3 linked regions of the Styela clava genome follow. The protein of the gene in region 3 purifies or fractionates together with the protein of the main gene of each other region. This does not show direct contact. Links are inferred from orthologs where the notes say so. Each region holds a gene or a part of one and is shown on either strand. Other genes may lie near its edges.

Region 1 (7,392 bases), on a different chromosome or scaffold from region 3:
CAATATCGAGGATACTGTGGATTTTCAATAGTGAGGAATGATCGACTTTTACTACCAGGGAATCCAGATATTGGCATTTTACAATATCAAGACAAACTCTATGTCTTTAGTTCTAATGCAGCTGCTGTTGAATTTGCTAAAAATCCTCCAACTTTTATTAATGGAGTTGCAGAAGCTGCAAAGGCTTCACCGGAATTGATCCAGCTTTTGGAATTGCATCAGCAGTTTGCCAGTATTACTCCTTATCCGCAAGCAGGAGAGGGTGGAAAAATGTTTGAAAAACCTGTCACAAAATCCGATTCTGGAACTCAAACAGACACTCACATACTCGAACACAACATAGTTAAAGATTATGAGTGGAACGAGTGGGAATTGAGAAGAAAAGCAATCAAACTTGCAAACCTGCGTACTAAGCTTACAAAAACAGTACAGACAAATCTCAGTAATCTCCGTAGAGACAACGTGAGTCAAGTATATTTGCCAAAAGAACAAGGTGCACAAACCAAGAAAGAAAGTTCAAGCAATGTTCCAAAGCCGCAAGTTTTCATGGCTGGACTTCGAGGAATCAGAGGAATTAGAACTATGGTCAGAGTTGATTTAACAAAAGATGTCAATGACGCTTAATATTTAGTTTTCATATTGTTTACATGTTACTTCTAATAAAGATATTTCTAATCCTTTATTATAGGAAAAGTTCTATTATAAATCCTGTTTGTATTTTTATAATAACATGCATATAGGAATCTAGTTCATTAATGTGTGTTCAGGTATTCGGGAATACCAAATTCTACTTTATTTGAAAAAATTATCATTTTTTTCAACCCATCTCAATATAAACAAAAATCTGCATTGTTCAGCTTTAGTTTATTGAGAACATCAAAATTTAGGCACTGGTTGGGTCAGTCATCTTGTGGGGTATTTATACCTCTAATTCATATTTAAATGGGGCTTTGCTTGGGCGCCAAACTTGTATGTGGATGTCCGCTGAATTGATTTGTCCTCCGGTAGCCAGTAGAAATTCTTCATGACATCTTGTGATAGGGCTGTCTGTTGCGACAAATGACAGTATAGGATGATAGGATAGGATAGGATTTACATATTTATCCCGGGGGAGAGGAAAGCCGATAAGACGGCTTATCCATATGGCGAACCACGGCCTCTCGTCCGGTTACCATTCCAAGTCGGGTATGGGATTAGTTTTTACTGTATTGTTTGTTTTCGGAAGCATGGACTTGGTGGTGGAGGAAGCCGTAACCGACCAGCGGTTACGTGAACCACCCAACGACGGCGAGGAGTCCAGCAATCCTCTCGCACATAACCATCCCTACATGGGATTCGAACCTGCGAACCCACGCAGAGTAATTAGAGGTGCGGTGGCGAGCGTATTCCTAACGCTTAGCCCGTTGAGCCACACCACCATGCATGTATCCTTACGCCTTTTCTGTTCTCGTAAAGTCCTCTTATATGTTGAGTGTAACTCCGTCTGGGTCTTGCTTGTGATTAGGGTGACCATACGTCCTCCTTTTTCGTTGAAAATTTTGTGTCCTCCAAGGACGCAATAAAAAGTCAAAATGTCCTCCTTTTTCGCGGGATTAATTATTCAAAATTCTCTCATGATATACTCAACAGTTTTTGATGTGTTAAAAAAAATTTCAAAGTGAGTAGAAACTTGGAGGAGCTGTTCCAGAGGTTCGCCGAAGGTTCTCTACAATAGTTATATATAATAAAATCTTTCTAGTACCCAGCTTACTAATTAAGAAAAAATATTAAAATTGCGATAGTCCATCGAAGATATACAATCTTACACGTTTAAACAACTCGTGAAATGGCTCAGGTGTGTCAGGCTCAGGTGTGCCGGGTGTAGCTTCGCGCAGATATATGTTTTACTGGACATGTCAATGACCGTTACATCTTGAATTCAGTACATTTCATTAAAACTCATATCAAAATTGCGCTAGTTCATAATGTAGGCTATGTCAATTTCGGCAAAAATCCGTGAAAAAAAAAAGTTTCAATCCTCATTCGGATGCAGTTTAAAGTTTTGGATACGGATGACTCGTGCTACCTACATTTTTGAGGTATTATATCATCTTTCTAATCTCCAGAATGCAACTTTTATACAACAAAAGATGGTTGCTGCGACACCATTGTGACACAACAATCACTATTTACACACACATCGTATTAGTTAGTATCTAATTCTAAGGTTACACCACAATGATCATTTTATATAACCTTGCAGAAAATTAGCTTCCCCTTTGTGAAGTTCTGATTGAGATCCTAGTTTCAACCTTTGACGGGAGCTTGCACAATAGTGGAGAAGTTCGGCAGAGCACTGCCCTAGGTTAAATGCATACTTGTAATGCATAGCCGTTTATCACGAAAAATCGTGTTGTTCTGCAATTATTTTACGTCATTTTATTTGTATTTCGCAATTTAGTAAAGTTTCGATTTTGGCAAAAAAATTCGTCAGCAGACCCGGTAAAAACCCATTTTACACATGAATTAAAGCAGAAGTATCCATGCCTCAAAAAAGATAAAACTCAAAGTGACTATGAAAACTAATAGAGAAGCGGAGTGAATTACTTGCGGATACGATACTTCCGTTTCTGAGGTGAATGAAGGCAAGATTAGCTTACAGTTGCATGTTGACAAGACAAAAACAGGATTTATTGTGATACACGTGTAGTCTAAATTATATTATAATCTAACAAGTATAAAATTCACAATTACTTGTTCAAAATGAGCCTTTAATTAATAATTATAGTTAAACAAAACGCAGAAAAGTTAATGCTAAGCGCAAAGGGTTCATAGCGCCGAAAATATTCAAATGGAATTTTTTGAGATGCAATGCAATGCGGAAATAAATCTATATTCTATTCGAGAGATGTATCACTGCTTGATTTTTATTATAAAAAGTATCATCCGTTCGGTCTTCAACTTTCTAAAAATATGTGCGGCCGCCAATGACTTGCAACCCTTAATTTTGGCCCGCGAGAGACAAAAGGTTGCCGACCCCTGATTTAGAGAAATAAGACAAACGGGCCAGTCAGTAGTTTATTCTATCACATGCCGAAAGTACACAGTAGACAAACATAATTACGATAAAAAAACGAAGAAATACGTTTCAGTGTGAAAGAAGATAAACTAGTGATAATTATCGAGCAGGGTCACCGATGAGGGAGTGAGTCTAACATTAAATCATTTCGAGAAAAAGTCAAACATAAAATACTAAAAAGCCAGGGTCGAAGTTAGAAGGATTGGTGAGATAGGCATACATTTTTTGTGTTGAAAAGTAAAGGATAAGGACAAATTTTCAGGAGCCAAAGTTCGGGGAAACGTCCGTACCTTATCATTATAATGTTTCGATGCCTATTTTGAAAAGGATTTTCAAGTTCCAGCATGTGCCGAGAGGCCAAACGCTGCAAAAAACACCATTTTATTTAAAATTAATCAAACAAATCTGTCTGAGTGAGAAAAAAAATGTGTCTGCTTTGCTGGATAAATTTCAATTAGTACATGACGACCAGTTTTATGAAAACCTGCCATTTTTAGAGAAAAACAAAACTCGGGTAGAGCGTCGGTTGACCACTGGACGTGTTGTAAATATGATACATTTTCACGAATTAGTTGCTTTCTGGTTGTTACGATTTTTCCAGCTCATCACTGGACATATACGTAGACAAACGCTAAATTGGAACGTCAAAAGACGTACGAATAAGAGCGATGAATTTTCGACATCATAATGTTGCAATAAATACATACCTTCGTCGAGATGTCATTTTATATTTTCCGCTTTAACGTATCGATGCAACGTCGACAACGGGGCATGTCGTGGGCGGATGTGGAGAGAAAAACAGCCGATTATTATTTAAGATAAGTTGTTGCAGAGCCGGCCGGATCAGTCGCGATTCGCTGCCGTGCGGCGTTGGTCTGCGCTGTAGTATTTGTAAAGTGCGGTTGTGATTTAGGTCCTGATTCAGAGTTGCGCATTGACTGACTTTTTCATATTCATTATGAACTTTAGGTATTCAAAAATGCTAGTTCCCCAATCATACACTAATACAGTAATAATACTTTCTGGCAGAAATTTTGCAAAATTGAAGGTTCTACTGACTGTCCAGAAGCTTACAAACGAACTATATTAGTTATAAAACATGGGGTTACATGGTTTATATTTATCAATTATAACTTTAAAAATATATAAAAATAAATTGACATGTAATCTAGACTCTGCAGTGTAGTAGTGATGGACTTATACTAGTGTATTCAGGTATTACTGTATTATAGTAATGCAGTGTTATTACAGTATTAATAGAAAGTCTTGTACTCTACTGGTCTATGTAGTTATACTACAGTCACATTATTGATAGATTTTCAAATAAACTACTGAAATACAACTAACATAGTCATGTCAGCCAAAGCAATTTCTGAAGCTGATGGAAAACTTCTTTTATCAAAACATCTGAAAGATTCGTCCAACCTCAAAAACCGATTCAAATTTGCAACTGTCAATGGATACAGTGATTGGAATGCAACTGTAGCATCAAATACATGGATGAATTCTGAGGTAACAATTTATAATTCCTCAGTTGTGTGACTTTATTCTACTTTCTGACTTTTATATTTGACAGTTTTGAGAAATATGCAGAGCTTAACCAAAATGGTACCAAATCTTGATGGTGCATTTTTCACTATCATACTGTCCTAAGCAACATAAAAATAAAATTTTTATATAATTTAAAAATAGCACTTTCATGCAGTTCTCTGATTCCAAGATGTACCGACATTTGGTACAATAAAACAAACTCACCATTTGTCTCTGAAATACGGGCATCTGGCACAACGGCAGATGCGGCACAACATGCCATGCTTGTTTCAGTAATAATTTAAATCAATTGCGACGTGCGTTGGCCGTCATCTGACCGAAATCGTGTTTTTTTGCTAAAAAAAATCTGGAAAATCAAGTTTAATTTCATCAATTTCTTTAAAAATTTGCAGAAACTAATTGTGAAGCCTGATCAGCTGATAAAACGAAGAGGAAAACTTGGTTTGATAAAGCTGAACACAGACGTCGAAGGTGTGAAAGGATGGGTCAAAGAAAGAGCTCAAAAGGAAATAGTTGTCGGATCAACAAAAGGAATTCTGAAAAATTTCATCATTGAGCCTTTTGTTCCTCACAAACAGGTAAACAAATAAATCAAATTGTCACTGTTGTTGTTATTTCTGTAGCAAAGAAGATTTATAGATTAAGAAGACACTGCTATTTAAATCTTCATCTTCTCAGTGTGCTTTCTGATGTATTGAAGAATGGTAAATATGAATCCAAGAAGCAAAAGTCTTCTTCCGAAATCATTCAAGTCTAGAATTATCATACAAATTCAAGTTTCATACAATTCAGTTTTCACGTTGTAAACTAAAATCAAAAAAGTATCAGATTGAAGATTGCTTTGTCTGTGATAAAATTAACTCTTTTTTTTTTGAGAATTAAAAACACAAAGTTCTGAAACTTTCATAAATATGATAGAAAAATGGTTTAATAATCGTTACTTAATACAAATTTGATTTTCAAGCATTTTCAAGCTACAAAAATACATTTCAAAACACAATATCTTGCCATGTATCGATCTACTTATTCAAAGCTTCATTCGAGGGAAGATATGAAATAACCCATGGAATATTTGAATTTGTCAATAATAAAAAGCTTGTCAACGGAAGTCTAGGTCATGTAAAACTGAGATAGTCGTAATTTTAATTAGATTTTTTTGCGAATGGGTTCTTTTATTGTGATTGATTTACAAGTCTGTGTTGAAATTCATACGGTAACTTCCAAAGTTTTATCAATATATAATATCTAAAATGTATCATATCATCAACACAAGAACCATGGTATTGATTTTGCTGTCAAACATTTTTTTTTCTAGATTTCATTAATTAAAGCAGAAGATTTATTGATTTTATCTTGGCAAAACAACACCTTTTGTCAAAATGTTTGAATTGATTTGGCCTTGAAAGCATAAATACATCAATAAACTGAAATCATAAAATTGGATTTTTAAACTTGTTCGAATATAAAATGTCTTGTCCGAAAACCAATAAATCAATTCTAATTAGGACTGTACTAATTTGAAGATCTTCAGATCGAAATTCGTAAATTTCCATTTTGGCACTGAGAGTTTGCCATACTATTTATTAATGCTTTTATATTGCTTTAAGGAATCATTTTTTGAAATTGGACAGTGCACTGTAGTATGTTCTCTTGCGGCCTAAAAGTATTTTGATTTCATTCGTGTTTAATGATTACAAGCACGAGATGTGTTTTGATTTTCATTTCAATAGATATTACTCATTTTCCTGTTTTACATTCACAGGAAGAAGAATATTATGTTTGTATCTATGGTACAAGAACAGGTGATGCGATCCTATTCTATCATGAAGGTGGTGTTGATATTGGTGATGTTGATTCAAAAGCAAAGAAAATAGAGGTATGAAAATACACTGAAATCCCGAATCTCAAATTTTCCATGCTGGTCAATATATTCTCGAGCGTGTGAAACTAGTGTTTGACTTAGCGATAGATTGAGGTTTCTGGTCGAAACTTGACAATACAAAAATGCAACACAATCACATTAGTTTTTTGTTTTAAAATTGATTAATTGAATAAAAAAAATATGGCGATTCAAATGTCTTTCTGGTGACTATTTTCAACTGGCCGCTTATATAGGCCCTTTTTCTAACTAAAAGTACCAAATGGCTCCTGAAAACTGTTAGTTTGAATACTTAATAGTAACAAAATGGGTACAGGGTTAAGTTTGTACATTATGTTTGAATTTTTGGAGATTTTTTCCTTGTGAATTTGCATGTAGTTTTGGTACATTGAATACAGTTTTTATCATAAAATCTTGTCATATTTTCATATATTTTCACAGATTGATGTTGAGGAGGACGTTACTGTATCAAACATTTGTGAGAATCTACTCGGAGAAGTTTCGAAAAATGCTCATGAGTAAGTATTGTGATCTTAATTGAAAATAGCATTTTTTTTTGTCACAATGTTTGTTGTCTAAAGTAAACGCCTATACACTTTCTACTCTTTTTGCAAATGTTTCATTCTCTTCATTAACCTGCCTTTTTATCATCTGTCCAGAACACTTGGGACTTTCATCAAAGATCTTTTCAACATGTACAGATATCTTCATTTTACATATTTGGAGATAAACCCACTAGGTAAACTTTTGTATATGGTGTGTTTTTGTTCATTCAAATTATTGAATCGGTGAACTCGTTCCCAAAGTTCATTTGTAATTTCAATCATTAATAACAGATCCTTGTATCATTTCTGTTTACAGTTATGTGTGGCACAGATATCTATGTCATTGACATGGCTGCTAA
Region 2 (7,776 bases), on a different chromosome or scaffold from region 3:
TAGGCCTATGTAGTGAATCGGAAAATGTAAAGTTACAGGAGGAGTCCCGCTTTGAAGTCAAAAAAATATGGTAACCCTAGATAGATACAGTAGTTTATTTTGAAAACTCCATAACACACACAGATTAAAAATGGAGGATTCCGGAGAGCATACAAAATAGTTTAAGACATGATAAATATCATGCCCCTCAGCACACACACAAACCAAATTAAATGAGGCGTGGGCCAGAATTGAACAAACAAAATATGGAGTCTTATGTAGTTTCGTACCTAACATACTTTTGGTGGGCGTATAGTAACAATATTTGCACGTGTCAATCCTAACCCCCACCTGACCATGCCATCCAAAAATTATGTCTCTCTGACGTCACAGTGGCGTAATAGAGCCCTTCAAACTATACGAACCGTCATCCAAAACGCGCTTGTCTGCACACCTGAAATCGAATGGCTACTTCTCTCGTTTTTTCATCTCGACGATCCCAATATGAGAGAGATCACTAACGTTAGTAAGTTCTTTATCGCCGGCACCGATGCCATTTCAGGCGATCGTACGTATATTTGTCAAGCTCTATGACGTGATTGTGATGTCGCAGTGAAGTAATATTTGGATGGCATAGTCAGGTGGGGGTTAGGATTGATATGTCAGAAAATTGTGATGCTACGCCCACTAGAAGTATGTTAGATACGAAACTACACGAGACCCCAAATACGAAATAGTATTTAACTTTCGGGCTGTTGTACTTTTAACACTTACATTGATATAACCAATACAATCTGATATAAAGATAATGTGGGGAGTGCAATGTAATAAACTGACAACAATAGTCATTGAAGCTAAGAAAAACCGAGCCATGAAAAACTACACTGCTATTTGCCTGATTGCTAGATCGGGCATTGCTGAAAAAGGTGATGAAGTGGTATAAGATCAAGCAAACTCTAAACTATGACGGTAAACTCGGTGTACGAACGCTAATAAAAACAATTTTCAGGAAAAACACTAATCACACGTGAACAGGTCTGTAGCCTAATTGATATATTGACGTGGCCAGCATTGTTAAAACAGTATACACAAAGAGAGAACAAAACAAAAATATGCCATCAAATGAATGTTCAAAAACGTTGAGCATTGTTATGGTCATATCAATTTACATTAAAAACTATTTACGCATATATAGTTGAATTCTCATTTAGTATTCAAGTAGAATTTCTAGCACAGTACAGCACCCTATCCAAATTTCAAGAATTTCCCTCCAATTGGCTCAATAAACCAAACACTCTATGTGTCTCACAAACGAGGGGTGTCTGGGGCCACGTCAGATGCGTCATATCACACCATGCTTGTCTCAATAATAATCTAAATTAATCGTGGCAGTCACATGACCAAAATTGCCGTTTTCTGCTAAAAACTCTCGAATGCTCCGGTAAAATTTTTTCTCCTTCGGTAAATCGGATTGAAATTCAACGATGATTTTACTAAATTGCGCTTTTTTGTAGTATTTTTCCCAATATTTCAGTATTTACATGTTGATATTTCTTCGGTGCTGGTTCATTTCAGTCCTTCTGCACCGCTGAAAAATGCAACTGCACCGGATGACTGCCAAACGTGTAGAGATGGTAAAATGATTCATTCACAGATTAAAAAAATTAATCAAATAGCGAATAATGTATAATAATAATTATATACCGGTAAGTCTGTATGTGTTTTTTCAATAACAGTTCAATTTTGCTAGTGTTATAATAATTTATAAAGTAAAGTAAATAACAATAAAAATGCCAGACTATTTGGGAGATGACCAACGCAGAGTCCGTGACGATGAAAATAAGGACGAGAAACCGATCCAAGCTCTGGATGAAGGAGATATCGCACTCCTGAAGACGTACGGACAGGGTCCGTATGCGAAGCAAATCAAACAAGTTGAAGATGACATCATAGCGATTACGAAACGTGTTAATGAGCTCACAGGAATTAAAGAATCGGATACTGGACTCGCCCCACCGGCTTTGTGGGATCTTGCCGCGGATAAACAAACGTTGCATAGTGAACAACCATTGCAAGTAGCCCGATGTACGAAAATTATTGATGCTGACACAGATAACGCCAAGTATATCATCAATGTGAAGCAATTTGCGAAGTTCGTCGTAGACCTTGGAGATCAAGTCGCTCCAACCGATATAGAAGAAGGCATGAGAGTGGGGGTAGATAGAAATAAATACCAAATTCATATCCCGTTACCCCCTAAAATAGACCCCACTGTTACCATGATGCAGGTTGAAGAAAAACCAGATGTAACATATTCGGATGTCGGAGGCTGCAAAGAGCAAATTCAGAAGTTACGTGAAGTAGTGGAAACTCCCTTGTTGCACCCTGAACGTTTCGTTACACTTGGAATAGATCCTCCAAAGGGGGTTCTTCTTTTTGGACCCCCAGGAACAGGGAAAACGCTCTGCGCGAGAGCAGTTGCTAATCGTACGGATGCCTGTTTTATTCGTGTTATTGGTTCCGAGTTGGTACAGAAGTATGTCGGGGAAGGAGCCAGAATGGTTCGTGAATTATTTGAAATGGCTCGTACTAAGAAAGCATGTTTAATTTTCTTTGATGAAATTGATGCCATAGGTGGCGCTAGATTCGACGACGGAGCTGGCGGGGATAATGAAGTTCAACGTACAATGTTGGAGCTCATCAACCAATTGGATGGATTTGACCCGCGTGGAAATATCAAGGTACTAATGGCAACGAATCGGCCTGACACTTTAGACCCAGCGCTGATGCGTCCAGGTAGAATGGACAGAAAAGTAGAATTTGGGTTGCCAGATCTTGAAGGCAGAACCCACATTTTTAAAATCCATGCACGGAGTATGAGTGTCGAGCGTGACATTCGATACGAGCTTTTGGCTCGTTTGTGCCCAAACAGCACTGGCGCTGAAATTCGCAGCGTTTGCACTGAGGCTGGAATGTACGCTATTCGTGCTCGAAGAAAAGTTGCAACGGAAAAAGATTTTCTGGAAGCTGTCAACAAAGTGATCAAGTCATACGCAAAGTTCAGCTCAACACCAAGATATATGACCTATAACTAACTGTGGAATTATGTTATATGGATTGTTGACTATATTGGAATTATACAAAAAAAATGTTTTCAAAAAATTCACATCAAATTGACGTTGGCAATAATATTAATGGATATAATTATAGAACTGAAAACTTACAATTTGCAAGTTATATTGACATTGTCCATTTAGGTTTTTTTAAAAAAAATTATTATTCCAGTCATATCAGGATAGTAATGTAAGGTTAATTAACTATCTAGGTCACAGGTATTTTTACCTTCTGGAAGTGTGATATTGCTGTTAACACTCTCTTAGTCTATCTATTTATGGCAATATCATTTGTTGCCTATGGGATGGGCTTGATTGTATTGTTGTGTAGGGCTGTATATGGAAATGTTTAGAACAGTGGTTCCCAAACTTTTATGGCTTGTGGCCTCTTCCCAGAGGATCATGGCCCCCTGTTTATTATTCCAGTGGTATTTGTAGTATTATTTTGATCCCAAATCTCGGTATGGTAAAACAGATGGAAAATGGGTTGTTTTCTAGTAGAAGAAAATGTAAAATCAGTTTTGAGTCTGGCAATGTGGCCCCCATCCAACTGCTCAGCCTGTCTGGTCAGAAAAAGTACCCTTTTAGTCTACTAGATATTGTCGTTATTATTCATTAATGTCAATATTATTCGTGGAATTGCAAGATTATGTTGGTATTGAGGGCTGTGTTTCATAAGTAGGAATGTTTGGATTCACATTTGTTACGTTTGGTTTGCTATTTTGGACAGTTATTTGAAATGAGCATGTTTTAGATTTGGCTGGTAATGTTAATATTATTTTCACATCAGTGATGATATTCTGCATCTGAACTATTGATGAATTTCTTACAAGGCCTGTGTAACAGTTTGATTTAGTGGATTTCTCTATTTCTCAAAGTTTGAAACAATATCCATCAAATTATTTCAATAAAAAGTTTGGATAGTTCAATTGAAAGTCAAAAATTTGTGTTTCCTTATTTCCTAAAAACATATTTTTCAAGTTTCATCTGTTTGGATTGAAGGCTGAAGCCCTCAATTTACTTTTAATGTTCCACTTGCGCCAAGTTTAACAACAGTGACATGCTAATATCTATAGGCCCTGGAATTTCATTTTCATTTCTGTTATTATTTGGTATTTAAAAGATGAAGGATCTTGTTTTTACTTCTTGCAATTTGTGCATTTATATCAGTGGTTCCCAAATCCGTGGGCTAATTACGGCCAGCATAACAATTTAACATGGCCCGCTGAACTTGAGTAAAATAGTTCCACACTTTACGTTTTTATCCTTTTGCGTTTTAAATATCGCAGTTTGAGCTTGTGTTTGTGTATATTTGTAATAATTCAATTATATTGGTATCTTGGTTGTACATACTGGTATTGGGATTACATAAATGTCTCACACTTGCTCTTTCCAGGCCCACAATATCCTTCCGCTTCTAATTTTGGCCTCCTGTCAATCAACTTTGGGAACAACCACTAATTTATATGTTTCATTTATGACAATCCTGGAAATTTTTCATTTTCTGTGCAAGACCTATTGGTGTATGAACTTGAGCACGGGCCATGTTAAATCAATATGTATTTGTATGAATCCATTTGGTCACCTATTTGATGCTTTGTTTTGTATTATTAGTGGCTGCTAGTGGGCCTTCGGCTGCTTGTACTCAGGTTGGATTAGGTAGAATATAAAGTGAAGTAGCTACTCCAAAAATCCTTCAAGGATACAGCCTACATTTGGAAATCGGATTCGAAAATTCTGGATAATCATTTAGAGCTAAATCAAAGCCAAACGTCTACCTTCCCAATAAAAAACTCTGGACACTTGAGGCAGCAGGGATGCCTTCAACGGACTCAAGTCAGCAGATACCAGCGTCATCTCAAACTCCGATGGATGTAGATCCAGAGATTGACATCAAGTAAGTTTTGGACAAAAAATGGCGGTTAAATTATATTACCTTGTGTGTGAATATTTTGGACAATAAATGTTCACCTCGTTGCTTAGCGATGACAGCACAATGACCGGGCATTGAAAGATCTACAGAAAACATCACATAAATATGTTCCATATTTAAAAATAGGCCCATTGTTTTGGAATAGATTTGGCCATCTGTGTTTATTGCTAATAATAATTTTCATTTTTTAAAGTACTTTACCCCCCTGCTTCTCTCCTTCTATAACTAAATTTTTAACTTTTATTTAGGGGTGCAGAAGTGAAGAAAGCTGAGGGAAATGAGTTTTACAAGAAAAAAAATTATCGAGAAGCCGTTAGACTTTATTCTGAGGCGATTGGTAAGATTTGTTTTAACAGTCTGCCCACTAGGGGTGCTCAAAATTTAGCTTAACGTAGAATTTTTAAAGTCGGTGGTTACCAACATTTTTCAATACATTCCTCCTTTTGCCTATATTGGATCTCTGGGACTCCCGAAGTATGCGAACCCAGATGGCGGACATCGGAATGTTATATGTGTACTAGGTTAGGGTTAGGCCATAATTTTAGGTATAAATACTACGGGAGGCTCTTGGCTAGTCTTCGAACTGATAATAGGACTAAAATAAGGAAAATTGGAAAAAAATTATCGCCTAACCCTAACCTGTTACCCATGTTACGTTCCGATGACCGCCATCTTGGTTCGCATACTTCGGGAGCACCGGATCTCTTTTATTCCTCTCTCACTATGCATTGGAGCCCTGTTTCCTTTATTTTATAAATTATTAATGCATCTCTAGTTAGTGATACGCACAACTCTCAATCTGACTTTTGTACAGTTTGAATGGTCTATAATGTGAACATATTTACCGGTTCATGACTTACAATAATACTAAATAACTATAATATTAGACCACAGAATTCATGGGTATATATCTGCAATTCCTCTCTCCTCATTGGTTTGAAGTTATTGATAATTGAAAAAAATGTCAAATGCTTGAAAAACCAAATTATTTTCGAAATCAGTATTTAGAATGTTACTATCCATAATTTTGGATGTATTTTAAGGAGGCCATTTCCACCCCCTTTTTTTCTCTAAACAAGCCAGAGACCATTGTTTACTGATTTTAAAACGACTGAAACCTTTCTCGTTTCGCATTGCCAGCCAAATGCTAACATGGCCATATTTTTCATTAAAGCCATTGTCAATTCTATTAATTTGAAATTTAAATTATAGTGTTACGATCATATTTTTAATGTGACTACTTTGCCACTACTTTACTGAGAAGTCACTGAAACTATCAGAGTCCTTCACGCTCAGTTCATCGCACCATGGGTGAGACAATGGGCACGGGGAACAAACCCATGGGTCTACCAAGATCTTTTACCTACAATGCCAAAATATCTAATTCCAATTCTTTGATCACTCTCGAGAATATTCAATCTAATCTGGACATTCCTGCTCACAATTCTCCATCTTGTTATTCTCAGATCTAAATCCAAAAAATGCTGCTTTCTACGGAAACAGATCAGCAGCCTATATGATGGATTCCAATTATAAAAGAGCTCTTGAAGATGCCCAGACCAGTGTCAGACTTGACCCACACTTTGCTAAGGTGAGATTGTTAGGACTTTTTTTGACATTTTTCTTCAATCTAGCAAAAACAGTGAAAAACCACTAAAAACGTACAGATCGCTTGCAAAAACGTTAAAAACAGTGAAAATCCACCAAAAATGTGCAGAAATCTTGCATAAATGGGGAAAACAGTGAAAATCCACCAAAAACCTTCCACGATATGTGCAACACGCACTTGCTTTTGTACGGTTTGAAGAATTTATGCGCTCATAAATATAACAATATTAATGAAACTAAACCAAATCGGCCAAAACCAAAAGTAAAATTTCATTTCTCAAAACAACAAAATTTTCTCACTTGAGAGCCGTCCCTCCCTGGTGGTGAATCGTTGATTCTCAAATTTATCCTGGTTGAGAGGAAATCTGTCAGGGTATGAATCATATGGAGAGCAAATCAATGTTTCCCAGTTACCAGTTCAGGTTGGGTATGTAAAATGTTGCAGTTAGATCAAGATACGTGAATCCGCAAATGTTCGGTGTTTCCAAATAACAAGTAACAATTTATAATTCATTGGGTAAATGTAGAACTCGGGACAATCATTGTATAAAAAAATATTCAAGTAATTTGTGTAATGACAAAACTTTTATAAGACAATTTATAGGTGCTTCATAAATAAGAACATACAATTTTCTTTCTTTCTTAGGGTTATCTTCGTGAAGGCAAATGTCATATTGCACTTGGCAATTCCAAAGCAGCTCTTCTCTCGTTACAAAAAGCCAAAGATCTCGATCCAAGTGCCGGAGCTATAATGCAAGAGGTGGGTTGCCCAGTCTGTCTTGTCCCTCTAATGCATGTTTTTTTGTATTGTGGATGCCACGGATGGTCAATTCCGAATATGAAATTGAGTATATTCTAATAAAGAAAGCAATGCTCGAATATATGGACATCAAGGCCAAAATAAAGTAGTACGGGAACGCAATCTCTCGGCTTCACCTGACCATGCGTACACGGAACCGCCATGGGGTGCACAATTTTTTATTTTGATGATGACATCGCACACAGAAAATGAATCCCATAGATCCTACAGAAATTTTTGTAATGAATGAAAGTAACAGACACTTGTGTAATACTGAAATATACAAACTTAATCACTTAAAATTTCAAAGCAATTGATCCAATACTCAGTGAGGAAAGCGATAC
Region 3 (7,698 bases):
GTCACCGCTGAGTAAACGGGCCACACAACTTTTGAGTCATACTATACCTTTTAATTTTCATCAACGAAAGCGAACAACTGCATCCATACAGCTGTAGTTATTTGATGATATATTACAGCATAAAATAAAAGAACAACTAATGCATGTTTTTCTTAGTGAGATATTTGGCAACTTTTATGCTTTACCAAGCGCTTCATATTAGGACGAATTGACGATTTGGGAAACTTTCAACCGCATACAATCGTCACTTCACTGGACCGCGAGTTCCGGTTCGGGATCCGAATTTCCGTTCCGCAGCATTTTTACTCTTGAATGTTTTGATCGACTACTGAGGCATCACTGTACAACCAATTTATATTGTACCAAAATAAATTGTAGTCTTTGATATTTTATCGCGGATCAAAGGATCGTCCTAACGTTGATATCTCGAAATAAAACTTGGGTGGTAGCATTGTGACAAAACGAAGTCAGTACTCAGTATTGATAGAACCAATCAAATTTGTATAATTAGTAACTTTGCAAAAATACGAATAAAAACTAAATATATTCGGGCGGTTGGAAACACTTTTTATGGTCGTGGATCGCCGTGATATTTCATAGTATTGTGTCATTTTGTCGACGCAGCCGCAGGTTACATTAAGCACACCTTTAAATTGATAACGCTAGGAATATAAATAGACTGGGATTAGTTGTCAATTGAATACTTTTTTTCACAAGTGGCCTGTCTAATTGCGCGGACAGTTTCATGGAAATTTCATGGCAAATCATCAGATATGTATTCATAAGAATTTATGACTTCACGCCACTAAATACACTAAATCGCCTGAATGCTTCGCGGGCCGCACGAAATTCCTTGACGGGCAGCATGTGGCCCGCGGGCCGCAGGTTCGTCACCCCTGACCTAGAGTGTAGCGGGAAAAGTTACATTTTATGAACAATATTTACAGTGTTACAAAAGCAAAAGTGGAACTAAATTTTATTTCAATTTCAACAAATTTTTTGAGCTATATTATTTATCTTAAACATTCAAATTTGGTTTTAGTTTGGTGGTTGCAGCATCATGCGGGCTAACTTAAATTAACGGACCCGATTCGACGACCCAACAAATAAGAATAAACGACAAACCTGTGCATTTATATCGGCCTGTTTTATTCAACGATCTACTATTTATAAAGGAAATAAATACTTAGCTTCTCAAGCAATAGACATCAAAATAATCTCAAATTGGAAATTATTGAAACTCACCTTTTTACTTAGATACTGACGTACACGGTTCCATTACATTTGAACCCACGTACATTTGAACCCATGACAATTGCACCTGTATGCTATTGCACCTACGGAATTTTTTTTGTTTAACGAATAGTTAAACCCCCACTAACCCTAACCCATGGGTTTTAGCACCCGCATATAGATTGAACCCGTGGATATACACATAGGTTCAAATGTACGTGGGTTCAAATGTACGGTCACCGACGTACACATATCTCAATTCAAAAACGATATTTGAAGGTTGCCAGTCAACGATCAAGCAGCGAATCTTTTTGCTTTGCCATGGGCACTATTTTATGTATTTACGCCACTGATTAAAAGCAGTCATGGATATGGTAGGATCTACTATTTTCGAATGTAATGAATACTTAGCTTACCAAGCAAAAGCCACGTGTGTAGCCTACAGCAAGGTGCGTTATTCCAAATCATCTTTCATCACGGAAATGTTCGTCAAGTCTAGACATCTGTTCTCTCTTGGTGTTTTTATTTTGCCTTTTGCTTTCTCACATAAAGGAAACCAGATCTTTAAATCTTCTCTGCAACATGTGAATATAAAAAAAGTATCGGTGGATCGAGGCCTACTCTTGAATAAATAAATAGTAATCTAAGCGAGTTTAACTAACCGATTTGTTGCAATAAATAGTATTTCCAATAATACCTCACTTCGGCCCAAACTGCATGTTACTTGGTGTTCTTTAACTCTGGCGGTCGACGCACCGTGATAAATGTTAAGAGCGCGATAGCCACCGCATCTCTTAATTACCGTGCGCGCTTTTGAATCTTGTGCGGACGATTATGTGATTGGACACCCTGTATATTGAGAACTGACTTCATAACAAAATTGAAATATCAAAGCGACTTTATGGACACCCTGTATTTTTACATACAAGGTGGCGTAAACTCAGGATCACCGTCATTCAATTATAAAACCAAATCCATAAAAAAATGCAGCCTTCTTAGCCACACCTAGTCAAACAACTAGTATATTAAAAAAAGTCAAATGTTAAAAGAATACCATGCCCAAAGTTTGAAAAAAATCTAGCCTACTTCGGAGCCACACCGTATATGGACGCATTTGTCAAACAACTAGTAATAACAATTAGTCACAAAATAAAACACTCAAATGTTAAAACGAAACCTAACGATCACAAAACAGTATGATTCACAAACTACAGAGCACGCAATGAATCTTAGGGGTCGCAAAGGGTACACCAATTTCAAACACAGTACTATATCTATTGCACCATTTTAGGCTTTTAACCCGAAACATAATTATTGAAACCAGTTCAAAACATAAATCTCACGATTTCGAGAGAAAATATAGGATTAGAGAAGTGGCGCGCTTGCATTACAATGCCGACTTAACAGGGGTCGCAGAAGATTCAATATATTGGAAGGGATCGGGCGCGAAATTTCGGGAAGCCCTGATCTCATACATAGACGGTTTTGGCCGTGCACTGTAAAGATGATTAAAGAGGAGTCAATTACCAAAGTGATTGCTGTGTTAGCGTGCAACAAAAACTTTGACTTTTCCCGAAGTAAATGGAATGTGGACAATCTGAATACACAGCGATGGCTCTGCAATTAAAAATGTTCCATCACAGCACTCGATAACGACTAGGATTTACATATTTATCCCGCCTGCGGTGGCGAGCGTGCATCTCTTATGCTTAGCACTCTCGACCATTGATCTAACTACATGCCCATATATAGGGGATGAACACTCCCGCTAAAAATTTTAAACAATCTCCTAATTTTCAGACGTGACATCACACTTTAATTCCTAACTTAAATAAAATTGTATTTGATTATTCAGAAAGTGGATTACAATATACGCCGATATCTACCAAAATATGTAGAACATCTACCATCCCCAAATTTGGAAACACCCCTCTAAATTTGAAAAGCCGGAAAACATATTGGTCTCTACTTTATAAAATGAAACTGTTGAAAAGTCTCATTGTAGCCTACCTCTAAGTGGTGGGATTCAAATATTTTGCCAGCCGGTTCCTTCACAATAGTCATTGCCAGTAACCAATAATGCTAACTGTACCGGCTGAATCCCACCACTACATGTACCCCAGTTTGGGAACCCCTGTTCTACAAACACAGTTCTGTCTCTGGAAGAATGATACCAATTCAGAGCCCAGTAGGAGAAGGCTGTTCATCCGACTGGCGACCATGTAGTTGTGGTTCTTTAAAAATATTCCTCACGCTTTGAAAGATACCCAGAATTTCAAAACCAAATTTAGGGATAAGACAAAATCTTTTAATATTATTCTCGAGGAGAGGGGTGCCGACACGAATAAAAAATCATATGACGTACCATGACCTCTCTTCCGGTTACCGGTCCATGTCAGGTTGTTAATTAAATAAGATTTTAAACCTTTTGGTCATCGTAAATATCCGTGACGTAAAGGAAGCGTAGAGGTGTTGTAAACATAAGACCAGGTACAAGATTGGGTTCGAATTCCACTGGATTCATGTGTAGAAAGTTATCTAGAGCGTAAACAGGGTTAATTAAGAGGATAAGTCAAGAAAAAAAGGTACAGGCAGAAAGGGGAAAGAAAGATAGGCAGAAGTCAGCCTGATCTGGTTGCAAGAGAGGTGCAGACAAGTCGAGCACAGGGTGACTGGGGTCGGGAAAGAGACCCGAAAAGGGGTCATATGCAGGAGCTGGCTAGAATGGTTGAAAGAAAGGTGTTGTCAGGCCCAGGCAAAGAGAGGAACGCGAAATGATGGTGTACGGTGACTAGGATCAGAAAAGAGACCCAAATAACCCCATCAGATGGAAGTCGCTTATTTAACTTGGTGTCAGCTATTTACTTAGTTCATCTTACTCAGAAGCAGAGGACGTGATCTCTTACGAAGAAATTACGAGCGAACCACTAAAGTAGTTTTGACACAAGGCTTATTGTTTCACACTTTCGCTGTAAATATTGTTCCTGAAATGTAACTTATTATGTCATATATACATAGCCTACATGGCCCACCAGTATGGGCTCACTTCTCGGTTAGATGACCTCAAAGAATAGGCTTCATGCACCGCTGCTGAAACTAGTGGAAAGGAAAAATAGTACGGCGCGCAAAACGAGTTTTCAATTTAGTTGAAGACTAAAGTTGACCCCAAGAACCGCGCCGCGCTTATGGCGCATCTATAATTACCCTGCTTCGGCTCGCGGGGTCGAATCCCGTAGTTGATAATTATGTGCAAAAGAATTGCTGGTTTTCCATATAATTAGGTGGACTCTTCAGCTCATTTCTCCCTCGGGATAAATATAAAATCCTATATCGCGGATATAAATTTGCAACAAAAGAAATCACGGAACCACAGCCAGAATGATCCTTCTCGAATGAAGTGCAGTCAAGCGTATTCACATGTGTGAATTCGGGAATTTTCTAAAGAAAGTCTGGTCATTAGAAGTGAATTTGGTCTTTCATCTATATTTTGTATTAAATTTCAATTTTTAGAGATCAAATTAGGTATTTTAAACATATAAATCTGTGTATAATTTCTTAATTGCAAGCTGTGTCCGGTAGAGTCGACTTGAAGACAAACTGGTTGAGAAATAAAGGTGTAACATCCCATCTTTGTTTGTTGGGAAGTGGAAATGGCCGAAAATAAGGTAACTATTCTAAGAAAAATTTATTGTCTAGATCGGCATTGAATACTGTTTGACTGATAGTCTACAACCGCTGGTTATTTCGGAACTTAGTTTCAACAATTGAGTCTGAGCTGCCATGCATATGGTTGTAGACTACAGTCTGACAGTTGTATGCTACAGCAGTACAGGGGTGGTGACTCCTGTAAGGCCCATGGGCCGGGGCCACGGCCCATCTAATTGGGCCACATGGGCCGTGGCCCATCAGAAAAAAATTCAATTATCTTGCCAAAATTTTCAATTCTTACAAAATTGTCAATTTTCGAACCAAAAAAAATCGCGGGATGCCACCAAAGCTTTTTCTTATGAAAAGCCTTTACATAAAAATAAAGAAAAACACTAAGCTACAGAAAATGATACACCTGAAGTATGTGTACCAGGTTAGGGTTAGGACAAAACTTTGTTCAGATTTTTCACATTATAGTTCTATTACAAGTTCGGGGTGTGGGTAGGATTTAGGTAGGAACTACATATTTGTTAGTCTTTATTATTTCACCCCATTACACAACTTGATGGGCCGCGGCCCATAGCCTGATGGGCCGAGGCCCATTTCGATGGGCCGTGGCCCCGGCTCATGGGCCGTAGAAGAGTCACCACTCCCACTCGTTGTATGGGACAATTACTGAATCAACTGGTTTTATTGGTTAGCTTGACAATATATCATGATTAGCCGTGTTTTCATCTTTTCTTTTCTGCCGAAATATTAAAATGTATATGTAAGCCAAGTAAACCAACATACAGTTATTTTTAACAAATTTTAGGCGTCAAAAAGCACGGTAACATCTGAACATGCATTCCAGTATTCTGAATATGTTTCATAGTAGACTATTTGGTTTGGCTCCTTTTTTATTATATTTTTCAAAATGCTTAAATATTGAAAAACACTTAGCTGTTTTGTGAGTTTTTATTGCATTTGTTTTCTGTTCAGACAATGTCTGACGAATTCAAAGCCACAGGAAACAAAGCATTAACAGAAGGAAGAATAGCGGACGCAATCGAAGCTTATACAAAAGTGAAATTACTTTCCTAGTTTCGAAGCTTTTGTATTTGTAGTATTGCTTGCATGATGACTTTCTGAGCAAAGATGTGCTAACAGGACAAGTTGATAGGCTAACTCATTAACAGCCTACCGTACATATGCAAAAATTTCTTAATTTCTTGGAGCTGCCGTTAAGGCTCTGAAAAGCAATCTCAGACTTCAACTTGTGATAATCCAAAAAGCACTAAATTGGGGGCTCCCGAAGTATGCAAACCAAGATGGCGGACATTGGAATGTAATATGTGTACTAGGTTAGGGTTGGGCCATAATTTTAGGTATAAATACTACGGGAGGCTCTTGGCTAGTCTTCAAACTGATAATAGGACTAAAATAAGGAAAATTGGATAAAAATTATCGCCTAACCCTAACCTGTTACGCTCCGATGTCCGCCATCTTGGTTCGCATACTTCGGGAGCACCCTAAATTGATTAATCATTTTAAACAGACAATCGAAAAAGGCATATGCTCAAATTTATATGGCAAACATTCTGACATTTGGTACGAAGTTTGCATCAGAGTTATTTTAAACTACCCATGCATTATAAGGAAGTGAACTTGACAGCAAATGGGAATATTAAAAAAATATTCCTTTCCAACTCCCTCACTATGGGTGTAATAAATGGGGTCTGCAGTGGAATGATTCTGACAATGGATGATTCCAGGCTTTCAATAAATACTAGCTCCTTTTATACCAGTAAATGCTTGCACAGGGCCTCGTTCAGAGTGCAGTGCAAATAATATCAAATATAATTAATCTTGAATGTGTTGATTTAATTTCAGGGAATTGAAATTGATAAAGACAATCATATACTGTACAGTAATCGCTCAGCAGCTTATGCCAAGGATGAAAAATATTCGGAAGCATTGACTGATGCAGAGAAAGTTATTGAACTGCAGCCTAAATGGCCAAAGGTAAAACGAGAATATCGGTCGGAGACCGAAGACTCATCGATCGAAGGTTAGGGGATCCCCCAAAACAGCGCTCTTACTCCATAGTGACACCGTGTGTCCTATTACTAATTAAATGATAACTCGCCAATTATACGACATAATTCATCGAAAATCAATAGGCTTCTGATCCGAGCTATGATGAATGCACATGCAAAATTTGGAGCAGATTCAACCTCGATTTCGTGAGATATCGCGTGTATCTAACAGACAGATACCTATCAACATACTTATCGATTGAAGTCGATAAGTAATGATGATTGGATTCAGGATAGGATTTATAATGGGAAGGGAGAAGCCGATAGGACGGCCTAATCATATGACGAACCATGACCTCTTGTACGGTTACCAGTCCATGTCGAGTGTGGAAGGAGGCAGTAATTACGTGAACCACTCTATGACTAAGGATAGACAGTGGATTAGATATTATTTCATTTAGCTTACTTTATTACGACGGGCTCGCATTTAGGAATTTTTCAAATAAAGTATATACACATTTTCAAATCTTTTAATTTCCAGGGCTACTCACGTAAGGGATCAGCATTACAATTTCTTACAAGATATGACGAAGCCAAGAATACTTTCGAAGAAGGTTTGAAAATTGATTCAAACAATGAACAACTAAAGAAAGGACTGAAGGAATGTGAAGATGAAATTTCTAGTGAGTAACAGTGTGTTGTAAGATTGAATTGCAGTTTATTTTGTTCCTGAATAGCTATCCTATGCTGAGTGTACTCAGTTTACTGTGCGTTGCTATGCACAGTTGCCCATGGCTAC

Evidence for each region.
Region 1: the proteins of stress-induced-phosphoprotein 1-like (region 3) and ATP-citrate synthase-like fractionate together in Homo sapiens (co-fractionation; 3 studies listed by BioGRID, with this or other methods). This does not show direct contact. The link is inferred for Styela clava from reciprocal best matches to the Homo sapiens genes STIP1 and ACLY.
Region 2: the proteins of stress-induced-phosphoprotein 1-like (region 3) and dnaJ homolog subfamily C member 7-like purify together in Homo sapiens (affinity purification with mass spectrometry; 4 studies listed by BioGRID and IntAct, with this or other methods). This does not show direct contact. The link is inferred for Styela clava from reciprocal best matches to the Homo sapiens genes STIP1 and DNAJC7.

What each region holds. Positions count from the first base shown.
Region 1 is NC_135263.1:10,041,508-10,048,899, forward strand, and holds the start of ATP-citrate synthase-like, read left to right. Parts: upstream 1-4,307; 5' UTR 4,308-4,411; coding exon 4,412-4,570; intron 4,571-5,001; coding exon 5,002-5,187; intron 5,188-6,371; coding exon 6,372-6,485; intron 6,486-6,929; coding exon 6,930-7,006; intron 7,007-7,147; coding exon 7,148-7,227; intron 7,228-7,349; coding exon 7,350-7,392. Other genes in the region: cilia- and flagella-associated protein 206-like, read left to right, coding at 1-624. UniProt on the Homo sapiens protein: Catalyzes the cleavage of citrate into oxaloacetate and acetyl-CoA, the latter serving as common substrate in multiple biochemical reactions in protein, carbohydrate and lipid metabolism.
Region 2 is NC_135261.1:467,472-475,247, forward strand, and holds the start of dnaJ homolog subfamily C member 7-like, read left to right. Parts: upstream 1-4,706; 5' UTR 4,707-4,909; coding exon 4,910-4,989; intron 4,990-5,273; coding exon 5,274-5,362; intron 5,363-6,491; coding exon 6,492-6,616; intron 6,617-7,279; coding exon 7,280-7,393; intron 7,394-7,776. Other genes in the region: 26S proteasome regulatory subunit 7, read left to right, coding at 1,770-3,074. UniProt on the Homo sapiens protein: Acts as a co-chaperone regulating the molecular chaperones HSP70 and HSP90 in folding of steroid receptors, such as the glucocorticoid receptor and the progesterone receptor.
Region 3 is NC_135264.1:16,802,007-16,809,704, forward strand, and holds the start of stress-induced-phosphoprotein 1-like, read left to right. Parts: upstream 1-4,673; 5' UTR 4,674-4,883; coding exon 4,884-4,898; intron 4,899-5,862; coding exon 5,863-5,946; intron 5,947-6,753; coding exon 6,754-6,885; intron 6,886-7,440; coding exon 7,441-7,582; intron 7,583-7,698. UniProt on the Homo sapiens protein: Acts as a co-chaperone for HSP90AA1. Mediates the association of the molecular chaperones HSPA8/HSC70 and HSP90.